Linked DNA regions of Xenopus tropicalis. The protein of the gene in region 2 interacts with the protein of the main gene of each other region in a pairwise test. Links are inferred from orthologs where the notes say so. Each region holds a gene or a part of one and is shown on either strand. Other genes may lie near its edges.

What was found.
Region 1: the proteins of dbnl (region 2) and sh3bp2 interact in binary tests that used the Homo sapiens proteins (3 or more experiments, as listed by UniProt). The link is inferred for Xenopus tropicalis from reciprocal best matches to the Homo sapiens genes DBNL and SH3BP2.
Region 3: the proteins of dbnl (region 2) and sh2d4a interact in binary tests that used the Homo sapiens proteins (3 or more experiments, as listed by UniProt). The two-hybrid records come from large-scale screens. The link is inferred for Xenopus tropicalis from reciprocal best matches to the Homo sapiens genes DBNL and SH2D4A.

Annotation. Positions count from the first base shown.
Region 1 is NC_030677.2:22,009,811-22,014,260, reverse strand, and holds the start of sh3bp2 (SH3 domain-binding protein 2), read right to left. Parts: upstream 2,847-4,450; 5' UTR 2,452-2,846; coding exon 2,375-2,451; intron 1-2,374. UniProt on the Homo sapiens protein: Binds differentially to the SH3 domains of certain proteins of signal transduction pathways. Binds to phosphatidylinositols; linking the hemopoietic tyrosine kinase fes to the cytoplasmic membrane in a phosphorylation dependent mechanism.
Region 2 is NC_030679.2:126,682,898-126,686,551, forward strand, and holds part of dbnl (drebrin-like protein), read right to left. Parts: intron 3,477-3,654; coding exon 3,421-3,476; intron 2,818-3,420; coding exon 2,705-2,817; intron 2,620-2,704; coding exon 2,545-2,619; intron 1,106-2,544; coding exon 962-1,105; intron 730-961; coding exon 652-729; intron 567-651; coding exon 415-566; intron 1-414. UniProt on the Homo sapiens protein: Adapter protein that binds F-actin and DNM1, and thereby plays a role in receptor-mediated endocytosis.
Region 3 is NC_030677.2:96,296,650-96,300,303, forward strand, and holds part of sh2d4a (SH2 domain-containing protein 4A), read right to left. Parts: intron 3,157-3,654; coding exon 3,003-3,156; intron 1-3,002. UniProt on the Homo sapiens protein: Inhibits estrogen-induced cell proliferation by competing with PLCG for binding to ESR1, blocking the effect of estrogen on PLCG and repressing estrogen-induced proliferation. May play a role in T-cell development and function.

The DNA.
Region 1 (4,450 bases), on a different chromosome or scaffold from region 2:
GCAGAACAGTCCTATTGGGTTTATTTCATGGTTAAATGATTCCCTTTTCTCTGTAATAATAAAACAGTACCTGTACTTGATCCCAACTAAGATATAATTACCCCTTATTGGGGGCAGAACAGCCCTATTGGGTTTATTTAATGGTTAAATGATTCCCTTTTCTCTGTAATAATAAAACAGTACCTGTACTTGATCCCAACTAAGATATAATTACCCCTTATTGGGGGCAGAACTGCCCTATTGGGTTTATTTAATATTTAAATGATTCCATTTTCTCTGTAATAATCCGAATTATAGAAAGACTCCTTATCTGGAAAACCCCAGGTCCCAAGCATTCTGAATAATAGGTCCCATACCTGTATAGAATTTTGCCTAAAAATTCTAAGCAACTTTTCAACATACATTAAAAACAAACATTCAATAATTAATAGGTTTTTTTGTAAATCATGGTGTCTGTCTGTCTCTTTCTTTTCTGCTCTCTGTTGGCTCTGACTATCCCTCCCACATCAGTCTCGCAGATTAAATTTTATTGGAAAGTGTGACTCAGTAGCGAGCAATAAGTATTGTTATTTATAAACACACAAGAAACAGAATGAATGAGTCATTTTCATGTGCATTAAAGCAAACAGTAACATTATTAAAAGGAAGGTTTTATGGTCTATGAAGGGATATCAAACCTGTGACTCCCAGAACCCTCAGTCAGTGGCAATGAGATTTTAATGACATTATAACTTTTGTTTCCCCTTCTGCACTTCTCTAGTTTGGAGAACTAGAGAAGACTGCTATCTAGTTGCTATGGCCATTGGTTTTAGCAACCTGGCATTAGAATGATGTACAAGCAGGAGAGGGATTGAACAGAAAACTATAAACAATAATAATTATTAGTTTGTTTGTTAAATGAGTCTTACAGCCCCCCAGCCATTGTCTTTCCTCGGCCTGAGATAATACCCTTAGCACTTACTGTATCACAGGCCTTATTTAGTGATGATGTCTCTATAACACAGACCTGGCTTTTATAGTCAATGTAACCCTTCTCTTAGCCCTGTCTTTAAATGGATCCTACATCTGTGGGGTACTGCCGATCAGCAGTTACATGCAGAGTATAGAGGTGCGCACCACATATCTAGGAAGGGAATATAACAAATAAATGCAATAATAAAGTGGCAAACTGAAAGGGGGTCCTGATAAAAAATATCATGCCAATCCAGCAGTTCCACCTATGATATAATTAGCACATTAATGGTATTACATTCCAAACAAAGGCACCCACTGCTTTAAAACTAGGGATGCACCGAATCCTGGTTTTAACCCCTTCCGATCCTAATCAGCATATGATAATAAGGATTCGGATTCGGTTCGAGATTCGGTCGAATTCTTCTGGGTGGGTTCGGAGGTTCGGCCAAACCCAAAAAAGTGGGTTTGGTGCATCTCTATTTAAAACCTTTATTACCGCTTGCCTTCTAACCCTTTTGCCCTATTGGTTGCTTGGTTTAAACTCCCTGCCTCCATCATCAGCCAAAGGCTGCCAGGAGATGCTGAGGGTTATATCTCACTAACAGCTAGAGAATTGTTGGGCTGGGATCTAAATTACGGGGCTCCACTTTGCCTCAGGCCCCACTAATGGAGTCAGCTGCCCTTTCTAAATAGACAACAAAATAAACCCAATTATTTTCCCCCTTCAACACAGTCATACAGGTATGCCACCAATACAGTTCCATGTGGCCAGCAGCAAGTCTGCAGGAAGCAAACCTTTCTAGCAACCAATCACCAGATAGTTTTACATTGACAGCCATGCAGGTGAGACCCCTATACATCACTATGCCAGGCTACAGTGCCAACCAAACAAGCAACTGTTGTACAACTCACTGGGAAACACAATCTGGTCATTAATGCAGATACTATTACTTCTTGTGCCTGATTTACTAACAGTGGGCAAAGTGCTAGCTGCAGAAATGGGTGCAAATGTGCATCTGTATAGAAGCCATAGAGATGGCACTTACTCCTGCATTTACTCACCTGTTTAGCTCAGGGTTCTCTTTGGCTTCTGCACCCACACATGATTTCATTGGTGACAATGGAGGGCATATAAGAGAATGGCCAAGATTGACACCCCTATTGACGAGTATGTAATTAGTGCAGGATTTACTTACTCCTACTAATGTAAAATGTTGTGCCATGCACTGGCAGTGTCATCCTGCACCTGGGGCAATAATAAGTGCCAACCTATACCAACATTTGCACAGTTTTTTGCCCACTGTTAATAAATGGGAGCCATTATCCCATGTTGATAGATCCCCAGTATTCTGTGTACTATGGATACAAATAATAATAACCCACGTAAGACTGAGATTGCTGCATCCGAGCAATCACTTACCTTATGTCCTGCCTACACATGGTCCTCCTCTCGAATGAAACCGCCAGCGACTGTGATCTTTTTATATTTGTAGCCATTAGGTAAAAAACATGGTCCGGAAGGCCAGACGCATGCTGAGCAGAGGGGACGAGTATTCAGAACGGTGCAGATAATGGGGAGGGGAAGTAGAAGTTAACGGTGACTTCTGTGCCGCTCTGCTCCACGCCTTGCTGCGAGCTTCAAGGGGAAAAAGCTGAACTAATGCTGCTTGTAGGGTGGACACAAGCGATGGAGCTGGCCGGTGACTTATTTCCTGTCTTGTGGCTGCAACTTCCTCCTTCCTGGGGTCTGCAACGTGCATTTATCAGATGCAAGCGTCCTGGCCGTAAGCCCACGGCTTTACTATGGGAACCCAGCCCTGAGCCAATTGCTGCCTTTTAAAAAAATAAAGAAATCACAGGGGGATTTCCGGGCGGGGACCACATTACTTTTATAGAGAAAGCGCTTCCCCATTTATGAAAAAGGGAACTGAGGGAAGGCACGCTCACCTGAACTGGCCTCAGTCTAGCCTCTCCTCTAATGTCTGCTAACGGCATGGGCAACAGCGGCCATGCTTTCAGCCAAATATGTCATGGCATTGCTGAAATGTAGAAAAATCTGACCTCAGAGTTTTTTAATCCTATACTAATGGACTTGTAAATGGGTAATACTAAATGTTGTTTGTATGCTTTAGAGCAGGGGTGTCAAACTCAATCACATAAGGGGGCCGAAATCTAAAACAGGCTAAGTCTGTACGGCTGGCTAAGATACTGTACGGTCAGGCACAGTCACCAGGGGCCACATAAAACACTTTAGAGTGAGGCAGACTTGGGGAATAACACGGCTGCATTTCATACACCTCTGTGCAACGCATTAAAATGTTGAAGCATAAGGGGCACCTCCTATTGGAATGGGGTTGCAACTTGGACACCCGTTAGATTGGTGTTGAATACAACACACCTATTAGAATAGTTTTGAATAAGGAACACCTCCTATCAGACGAGGGCAGCATAAGGTGCACCTCCTATTAGAATAGTGTTGAAAAAAGGGCAATGCCTAACATTTCATAAGGGGCCCCTCCTAATAGAATAGTTTTGAATAAGGCACACCTCCTATTAGAATGGTGTTTAATAAGGTGCCCCTCCTAATAGAATAGTTTTGAATAAGGCACACCTCCTATTAGAATGGTGTTTAATAAGGTGCCCCTCCTAATAGAATAGTTTTGAATAAGGCACACCTCCTATTAGAATGGTGTTTAATAAGGTGCCCCTCCTAATAGAATAGTTTTGAATAAGGCACACCTCCTATTAGAATGGTGTTTAATAAGGTGCCCCTCCTAATAGAATAGTTTTGAATAAGGCACACCTCCTATTAGAATGGTGTTTAATAAGGTGCCCCTCCTAATAGGGCCACAAACTGCCACTTGGGGTAAGGTCGCATTGTGAGTCGCATCCCTATTCTTTTCTATGGGGGTCACAAGAAGTGGATAATGACAGGCACATCCCCTCCCAGGCCTATAAGCTCATTGTGCCTGAAAACAACCATATATCTTGCTTGCTATGTAGGGATATTACATAATACACTTTGCATATTTTGCATTGGGAGGGAAAATATAAATAAATAAAAAGACAAATGGTTACTAGTATACGTATAATACAGCACTGATCTAGGAAGTTTCCTCTCAAGGCAACTTCCTAGGCGCCACGTATGCCATCCCACCGGCGATTTACATTTTCGCCGGTGGGATGGCATTTCATGGAGATTAGTCGCCCGCGAACAGGGAGATTTGTCACGGGCCACTAATCTCCCCTTGTGCAAGAGCCCTAAAAGTCTACAGTGAGGTCAGGGCTCTTCTTTGTTCTTTTCTATGTGAAAAGAGACCCCCCACTATCTGTCTATAATCCCCTCTAATGTACTTGTAAAGGGCAATTATGTCCAGCACCTTTTCTTCAGATAAAACAACCCCGACCGTGACAGTCTAACCTCATAGTTTAACCCTTCCATCCCCTTTACCAGTTTAGTTGCAGTCTCTGCACTCTCTCCAGCTCATTAATATCC
Region 2 (3,654 bases):
TTGCTCCTAATAGATCCAATTAAGTTCCTACTGAAAAGGCAGAAAGTAGAGCACTGTTCTACAGCAAAGACTCAGCAGAAGGAGGCAAAAAATTAAAAAAAACATAAATAATGAAGACCAATTAAAATGTTGCTTAGAATTACCTATTATAACATACTAAAAGTTAACTTAAAGGTAAACCACCTCTTTAAGTTACCTCCAAACCCTTTCTAAATTTGCTCATCCATTGTTCAAGTGTGTCGCTCAGTTCCAGTCTTCTCAGAATCTCTGCTCTCTATGCTCTTTCCTTGCTTTCTCTTTGTACAAGCTCCAGTGCTTTTCCCTTTTCTCTCTCTTTCCTTTCCTTATCTTTTGTCTCCAGTCATTTCTTTATTATGTTTGCTCTCCGCTCTCTTGTACAAATGTGGCACTCACCTCTGTGCATCTATCTCCTTTGCCCTCTCTCGGAACCTCCGCTCTCTCTCCTCAGCCTCTCTCTGCTCTCTCTCCTTGCGCTCCTTTTCCAACCGATCCTTTTCTAAATTTGCCCTCCTGTGCTCCTCCAATCTCCGTTCCTCTTCATCTTTCTGAGAGACAGAGGAACTGTGTATTTCACGTGCACCTTTAGACCCTGGTCGTCATTTTTAGATCCGTACAAGCACCATTACTCACCTCTGCCTTAGCCCAGAAATTCTCCTTTCCTACGCGTTTTATCTCTGACATTGCATTGGTTTTCTGATACACTGACCCCTGTTAAAAGATTAAAATATATCAAACACTGGAATAACTCACAATCAATTACTTAGTGAAGGGTTTTATTTTGCATAAAATCATATTTTTAGTTCAAGTTGGCCCCCACATGTTATAGAGGGATATACCTGAAAAGAGTTGGAGAGAACTATTTTGTAACACTGTTCATATAATTCTAATTTCCCTTTATTTTGTCTCTCTCCACAGCTTTTAAAATAAAACCTTTTCTTACCACTGGTCCTTGGGGTCCCTCATTGCCCCTGTTACTCTCCTTGTGGAAGTTGTAGTTGGCGCCAGATGCTTTGGCCACCTTTTCCATGATGGCGTCTGGCTCTACATCCTCTTCGGCACGGGCATTAATTGTAACATGTGCACCCTGGAATAATAGGAATGGAATAAAATATGTTGAAAGCAAGATGTCAGTAACACACCCAGACTGGGATTTAAAATAGGCCCTGGCATTTCAAGTACACAGGGGCCCAATAAATAGTGACTGTCTATGGCATCTTACAGCAGCCCCTCTGGCATTTTACAGAATTTACAGATTGCCAGTCTGGGCCTAGTTACATGTGGGAAAATATGGTTCCCCAGTGGAGTTGAGGAGGCCAGTACCTATTTGATCAAGCCTTGGTACAGATAATAAAGTAGTCCCATCCAGGCCCAGACTGGAATTCAAAATGCCCCCCCTCAAACAGCCCCCTACCAGCCCAATAAATAGTGACTGTCTATGGCATCTTACAGCAGCCCCTCTGGCATTTGCCTGAATCTACAGATTGCCAGTCCAGTTGGGTAAGCAAACTTGGGCAAAGCTGGAGGCAAGACAGTAAGGGTGAAGGTATCGGCCATTACTCCATGGGCTAAAGTACCCTACATGTGACATTAGCTTAAAGAACTTGCTTTGGATCAACTAAGTAGTCTGCCATGACTATATACACAAGGGGGTGCTTGATGTTATAAGTCCTTAGCTGCCATTTGCTTAGCTATACCAATATATTATTTTAGCAGTCAACAAATCCTATATTAGTTGTAAGATACAAAATTAGTAGAAGGTGGGGCAATGGCACACAGACAGATAAAAGCATGGGGTGTTTTTTCTGCCCCGTCTGCCTCTAAGTATAGAGATAAGGTAGTCTAAATTGGCATAGATGGACATTATTTCTTTAAGCAATTAAAAGGCAAGTAGTTTAAGAAGCAGCAAGGATTTTTAGGAAGGAAAAGTAAGGGAGGAATAAGAGATGAAGACTCAGACCAGATAATAGAACTAGGGGACAGAAGTGCATTCATACCTGGCAATACAGAGCTATGACTGGATGTGGCTCCCACTACATCAAGGCCTTTTCAGCTTACAGTGCAAGGTATGTCTTTTACTAGGTCTTGTCATTATGCTGCAACACCATTCAGTTTTTTTGCACAGGCTGAAATTTGCTCTCTAATTATATTATGATCAGTGGTTCACTGGGGGGAATAGGGGAAAAGGGGAATTTTTATTGCTGTAAAAAAATCACCCAAACGGTACTGGATGTTAACTAAATGTGTTTTCCAAATGTTTTTATTCTTCATCCTCCATGGGTTTGTTTTATCGCCATGACAGATCCCCTTTAAACCAGTTACTGAAGGTGAAGGTGCATTATAAATCACAGCTACGGGCATTTCCTTCTGATTCCAAAAGTAGATGTTCGGGCAAGTGGCTAATCCCTGAATCTAGTTCAGAAGGAGCAAAGCAGCTCCACTGTTTTACCTAAATAGCAACCATGTGTGTCATGTTCCTCGGACAAGTTAATAGCAGATTTATGAAGTGCTGTTACAGTCTGATACCTTGAGGAAGTTGGCCATGGTGCTGACATGGTTGGCACAGACCCCTTTCCGGGCATCATTCACACCTTCGCCTGTCTATAAGAAAAAAAAATGGGAGAAATGTTAAATATATATCAGGGACAAAGGGGCTGTAGGATACTTGTTGGTCTCCAAAGCTCACCCAGTTCACAAGGACAAATTTTGGGAGTCCTGAGTTGGGGTCTTTCACCCTGCAGAAGGCGTACATCACTTTGCCGCTGCTCAGTTCTTCCACTAGCTCCTCAAGCCCCCCATCTGAGGTAAAAGAAAAATAGGTGAAAAAATAACAGAAGAAAAATACCTCCAGTCACTGCAACCAAATACACAGAAATGGGAATCTATGGGCAGTGTATTACCCTGGCTCCATCGTCAGCATAAAGGTGACATAACCACACATACAACAGGCGTCTTTAAGTGCTTAAAATAGTGACCAATGTCATTGGAATCTGTGCCACCCGTCCAGCTGGATCTATAAGTGTTCCTGATTTGTTAAGGGTCTCAGCAATATAAATTATGATTCATGGCAGTATGGACGCTCGGGTGTGGTTTTATTGGAGTCTGTGGATGAGATGTAATTTGCCTATTGTGAAGGGACCAACACATCTACTCACATGCCAAGGATCTGTGATTTTCGGGGGGGGGGAGGACTAGGTTTTCTTGAAAAAAATCGGTGTATCAAGAGGCATAGCTGGGCACTGACACCACTGAATGGTGGGCTGCATGACGCCATACACAGTCAATACAGACAGAATGCCAGGGGAAGGGGGGATATAAAACCATAGCAAAACAGGGTGACTGAGGCCAATGGGTGCCCCCATATGTCATACAACCAATGCGTAAAAGGCATGGATCACTCACCTCCAGTTTCAGCCAATCTGATGTCATTGCTGTTACCTTCATACGTATAGAGAGCCCTTGAATAAAACATTGCAGCCATTAATAATTGAATGATTTAATGGGCAATCTACTCTGAAACATTAACATTGCATATAAAATGAACCCAGTAGCTGCAGCCCTCTCTGATTGTTTCGCCATTGTACATTTACTGTAGAAACTCTCTGGAAAAGCTGCCTGGTATATGTGCAACGGCCC
Region 3 (3,654 bases), on a different chromosome or scaffold from region 2:
ATGCACCGATGTATAGTATAAAAAACATCTATACAAAAAATTTGATCAAAGACCCCAGCTTATCCAAACCAATCTACAACATGCAGGAATGATCAAAACATTTCTAATCACTTGTGGAAAAGCTCTTTGAGTAGATTTGAGTAATGTCATGGTAGTAATAATTTAATTGGGGCTTTAAAGGAAAACTATACCCCCAGAGTGAACACTTAACTAACAGATAGGTCACTTAACATAATATAACCTATTAAAGAATCTCGCCAAATTGGAATATATATATATTAGTAAATTTTATGCTTTTACATCCTTTACCTTGATCCACCATTTTGTTATGGGCTGTGTGCTCCCTCAGAGATTACATGACCAGAAACAATGCAGCTTTAACTTTAACAGGAAGAAGTGTGGAAGCAAAAGACAGAACTCTGTCCATTAATTGGCTGATGTGGCCTAGCAGGTATGTGTGCCTTGGCTTGTTTGTGTGCACTGTGAATCCTATGATCCCAGGAGGTGGCCCTTAATTTTTAAAATGGCAATTTTCTATTTAGGATAACCTAATTGCACATACTGTACTACTTAAAAAAAGTATATTTTTATAAAAATGGTTTATTTAGTTGAAGGGTTTTACATACGAGCTTGTTATATATTTTGTTTATATATACAATATATTTTTAGAGAGACCTACAATGTTTGGGGGTATAGTTTTCCTTTAATAAAGAGGGTCAATAATTAAATTCAACAAGTAAAATTCTTGTTAAATCAAAACATATTTAGTTAGATGAGCAGGTTGATTATAATTTAATATATTTTTCAAAAGTTTCTTACACTGCATGCAGTTATACAAAGCACAAAATTTTACAACAATGCAATTAAAATCTGCAAGCTTTTTCAGTCATTTTTCTCTCTAAACAATATGAATTTTTGGGAATAATTTTTGAATTAGCATTGAAAATTTAAAGTAGAACTCAACCAGAAATATAACTCACCCCCCCCCCCCCCCCCAGAGACTATCACTAACATTATATAATTCAAAACCACAAAAAAATGTAATTAATTATAAATGTATGTTTCCAGTTACTCGTTTATTATTATATATTATATGGCTGATGGAGTTTAAAAGTTTTATTGCCAAGTATATGGCCGTTTGGCTAAGTTTACTAAATATAACCTAGTAAACCAATAAGTATGTACATACATAAATCAGCACTTGTGTTGCATTCAGCGCACAGTTTTTGATAATTTTCCGTCTACCAGAAATGAGTCCAATATTTTCTTTTACAGTATGACATAGGAGATCTGTAATAACAAGTGACTGACTCCACCTAATTTTAAATACAACAGAAACAGGTTAATTTACACTGTATATCAATTTAACTACCTGGTTGATTCTTTACAGATATGTGTCTTATGTGAACTGGAAATCCCCTAAAATGAGGGCTGAGTGGAGTATGAGGAAATATTTTTTAATGTTTGGTTTAGTTAGAGTGGAAAATAATGCTTAATGGATGATGCCAGTTTTGTTCCAACAGTGTTTAATACTTAACAACTTGCAAGTGGCAGCCACAGTCAGCAAACATTTGTTTTCAGTGATTCATGATCACAAAAATCATACATGTAAAACTTCACAAAAGACCTGGGGAAAAGGTTGTTCTGGATAAGGAAAGGGATATCAAAAAGTGTGCGTGACCAGTGTAAACGACCTGCATGAAGATCAGTCAATAAATCAGGCATAATTTACAAAATCCCCTGCTACAAATAATAGAGAAATAAAGAAAAATCACACCCATTAGTGTTCAGATACAAAACATTTGCAGCAGAGGATTTGTGCTGTCCCCTAGTATTTTAGGTGGTGTATCTGATTTGTCATGTTCATGAAAGAACCTGTGCTTCCCCAGTTAACACTTTTAGCTTTTTGTTATTCACCTGCATACTAGCCGATAACAAAAAACAAATACCGTAAATCCATTTAGTTCTCTCTTTGCTAAAAATGTTATAAAGACTTGCCTGCTTGAAGGCACGTTTCTGATAAAAGGTCTTTAGTAAAAAAAAAATAATATGCTGCACTATAAGTAGAATACATTGCTATTGGGCTCATTTAATAAACAAGTATAAAGTTATGCTCCGAATTTGGGATGCAGCTGAATACCATTTTTTTTTCTCTTTTCTCTTGACCTACTGTTTATATTTTGTGCCATAAAAGTTTTCAGTTTTCTCAAACAATATTAATTCAAATTCCTCCAGGGCCAGACCAGTCTTACATTTCTGCATAGCATTACTGTGCCAACAAGGAAGTCCACAAAAAATGGCTAGTAACTCAAACAAAAATAATAAGTCTGCTTACCTTGTTAACATCAAACATAGTGGGATAAATAGTAATAAAAAAATTAGGACATTTTATTATTATATATTTACAGGGTTAAGATTATGCTCTACATATCCTCACACAAGATATATATATGTACACAAATGTTCACTATTTCAGCATTGTCAAGTGTCACGCATTAAACATGACGAACACAGAGTTTCAGCCCTCATGCTTTAAAAGCAGGAAATCAGGAAATTTACAGTTGCTTGCCTGACAACAGCCTACCAGCCCCTACTGCTCTATGAACTCCCTGATGGTCACCTTTTCCCTGTTCTCCCACTTGAAACTTGCAGAATGGCAAAAAATAAAATACTTCCAGCGCTTATGTAAGGTACTTTGGGGGTGTAAGTGGAACTAAAGCCATTTTAAATTTTTCAAGGGTACAAAAATTTGGTGTATGCCATAGCTGCACAGTGACAAAAAAGGTGACCTGCCTTTTAGTGATTAAAAAAGTCCTGAGTATTTTATTTTACAAGAAGTTTTGAGAATATATTGAGTTTGCACAATGGGTAATTATAAACTTGACCTAATCTTTTAAAAATTTGCTTATAGACAGCTAAAATATAATACAGTGGGTTAGTTTAAAGGCCTTTCCAAAAAATTATTTGTTTTCGTAGGGACAGAGATTATTATTATTATTTACCTGGTTTTCATCATTAATGATTTGTTGATTTGCTATTCTGACATTTTCATTAACCATTTGCTTGGTATCAGTGTTTTTTTTCAGTAAGTCAGCATTGTTGTGAGGGTGCAGTCTCAGTGTAGACAATTGGGATAATTCCACTTCTTGTTTTTTCCTGAGAGCAAAAATAGTTGTACAATAAACAAATGTATTTCTGTGTAAGAGAAAATTATGTTAAACTGTGGCCTAAATATTTTTCCATAGTGCAAGTTCCAACTTAGATTTTGAGAATTCAGTATATAATAAACAAGTTGTAAGACTCAGATGGGTCAACATTAAAATTTAGCAGGCGCAAATTGCAATTCCAAATACAATATCATGGGGTGCGTTACAGCAAACCTTACACAGCTACCAGTACAGGTGGGAACATCTTTTCGGCCGAAAATGCGCAAAGAGCACATGACAGTACATCATCTTTGTCACATGGAAATGTCCTTGGTGTTATTGAAAAGGGGTACTTAAAACCAAGGTCTTGTTTACAATGGTTGGGCAAATTTACAACTGGGCAATAACCCATGGCAACCATTGAAATATTTGCTTTCATTACTCCTGCTGCAGCTGACTGAACATAGCTAATTACTGGTTGGAAGCACATTTGCCCAGTGTTTGTAAA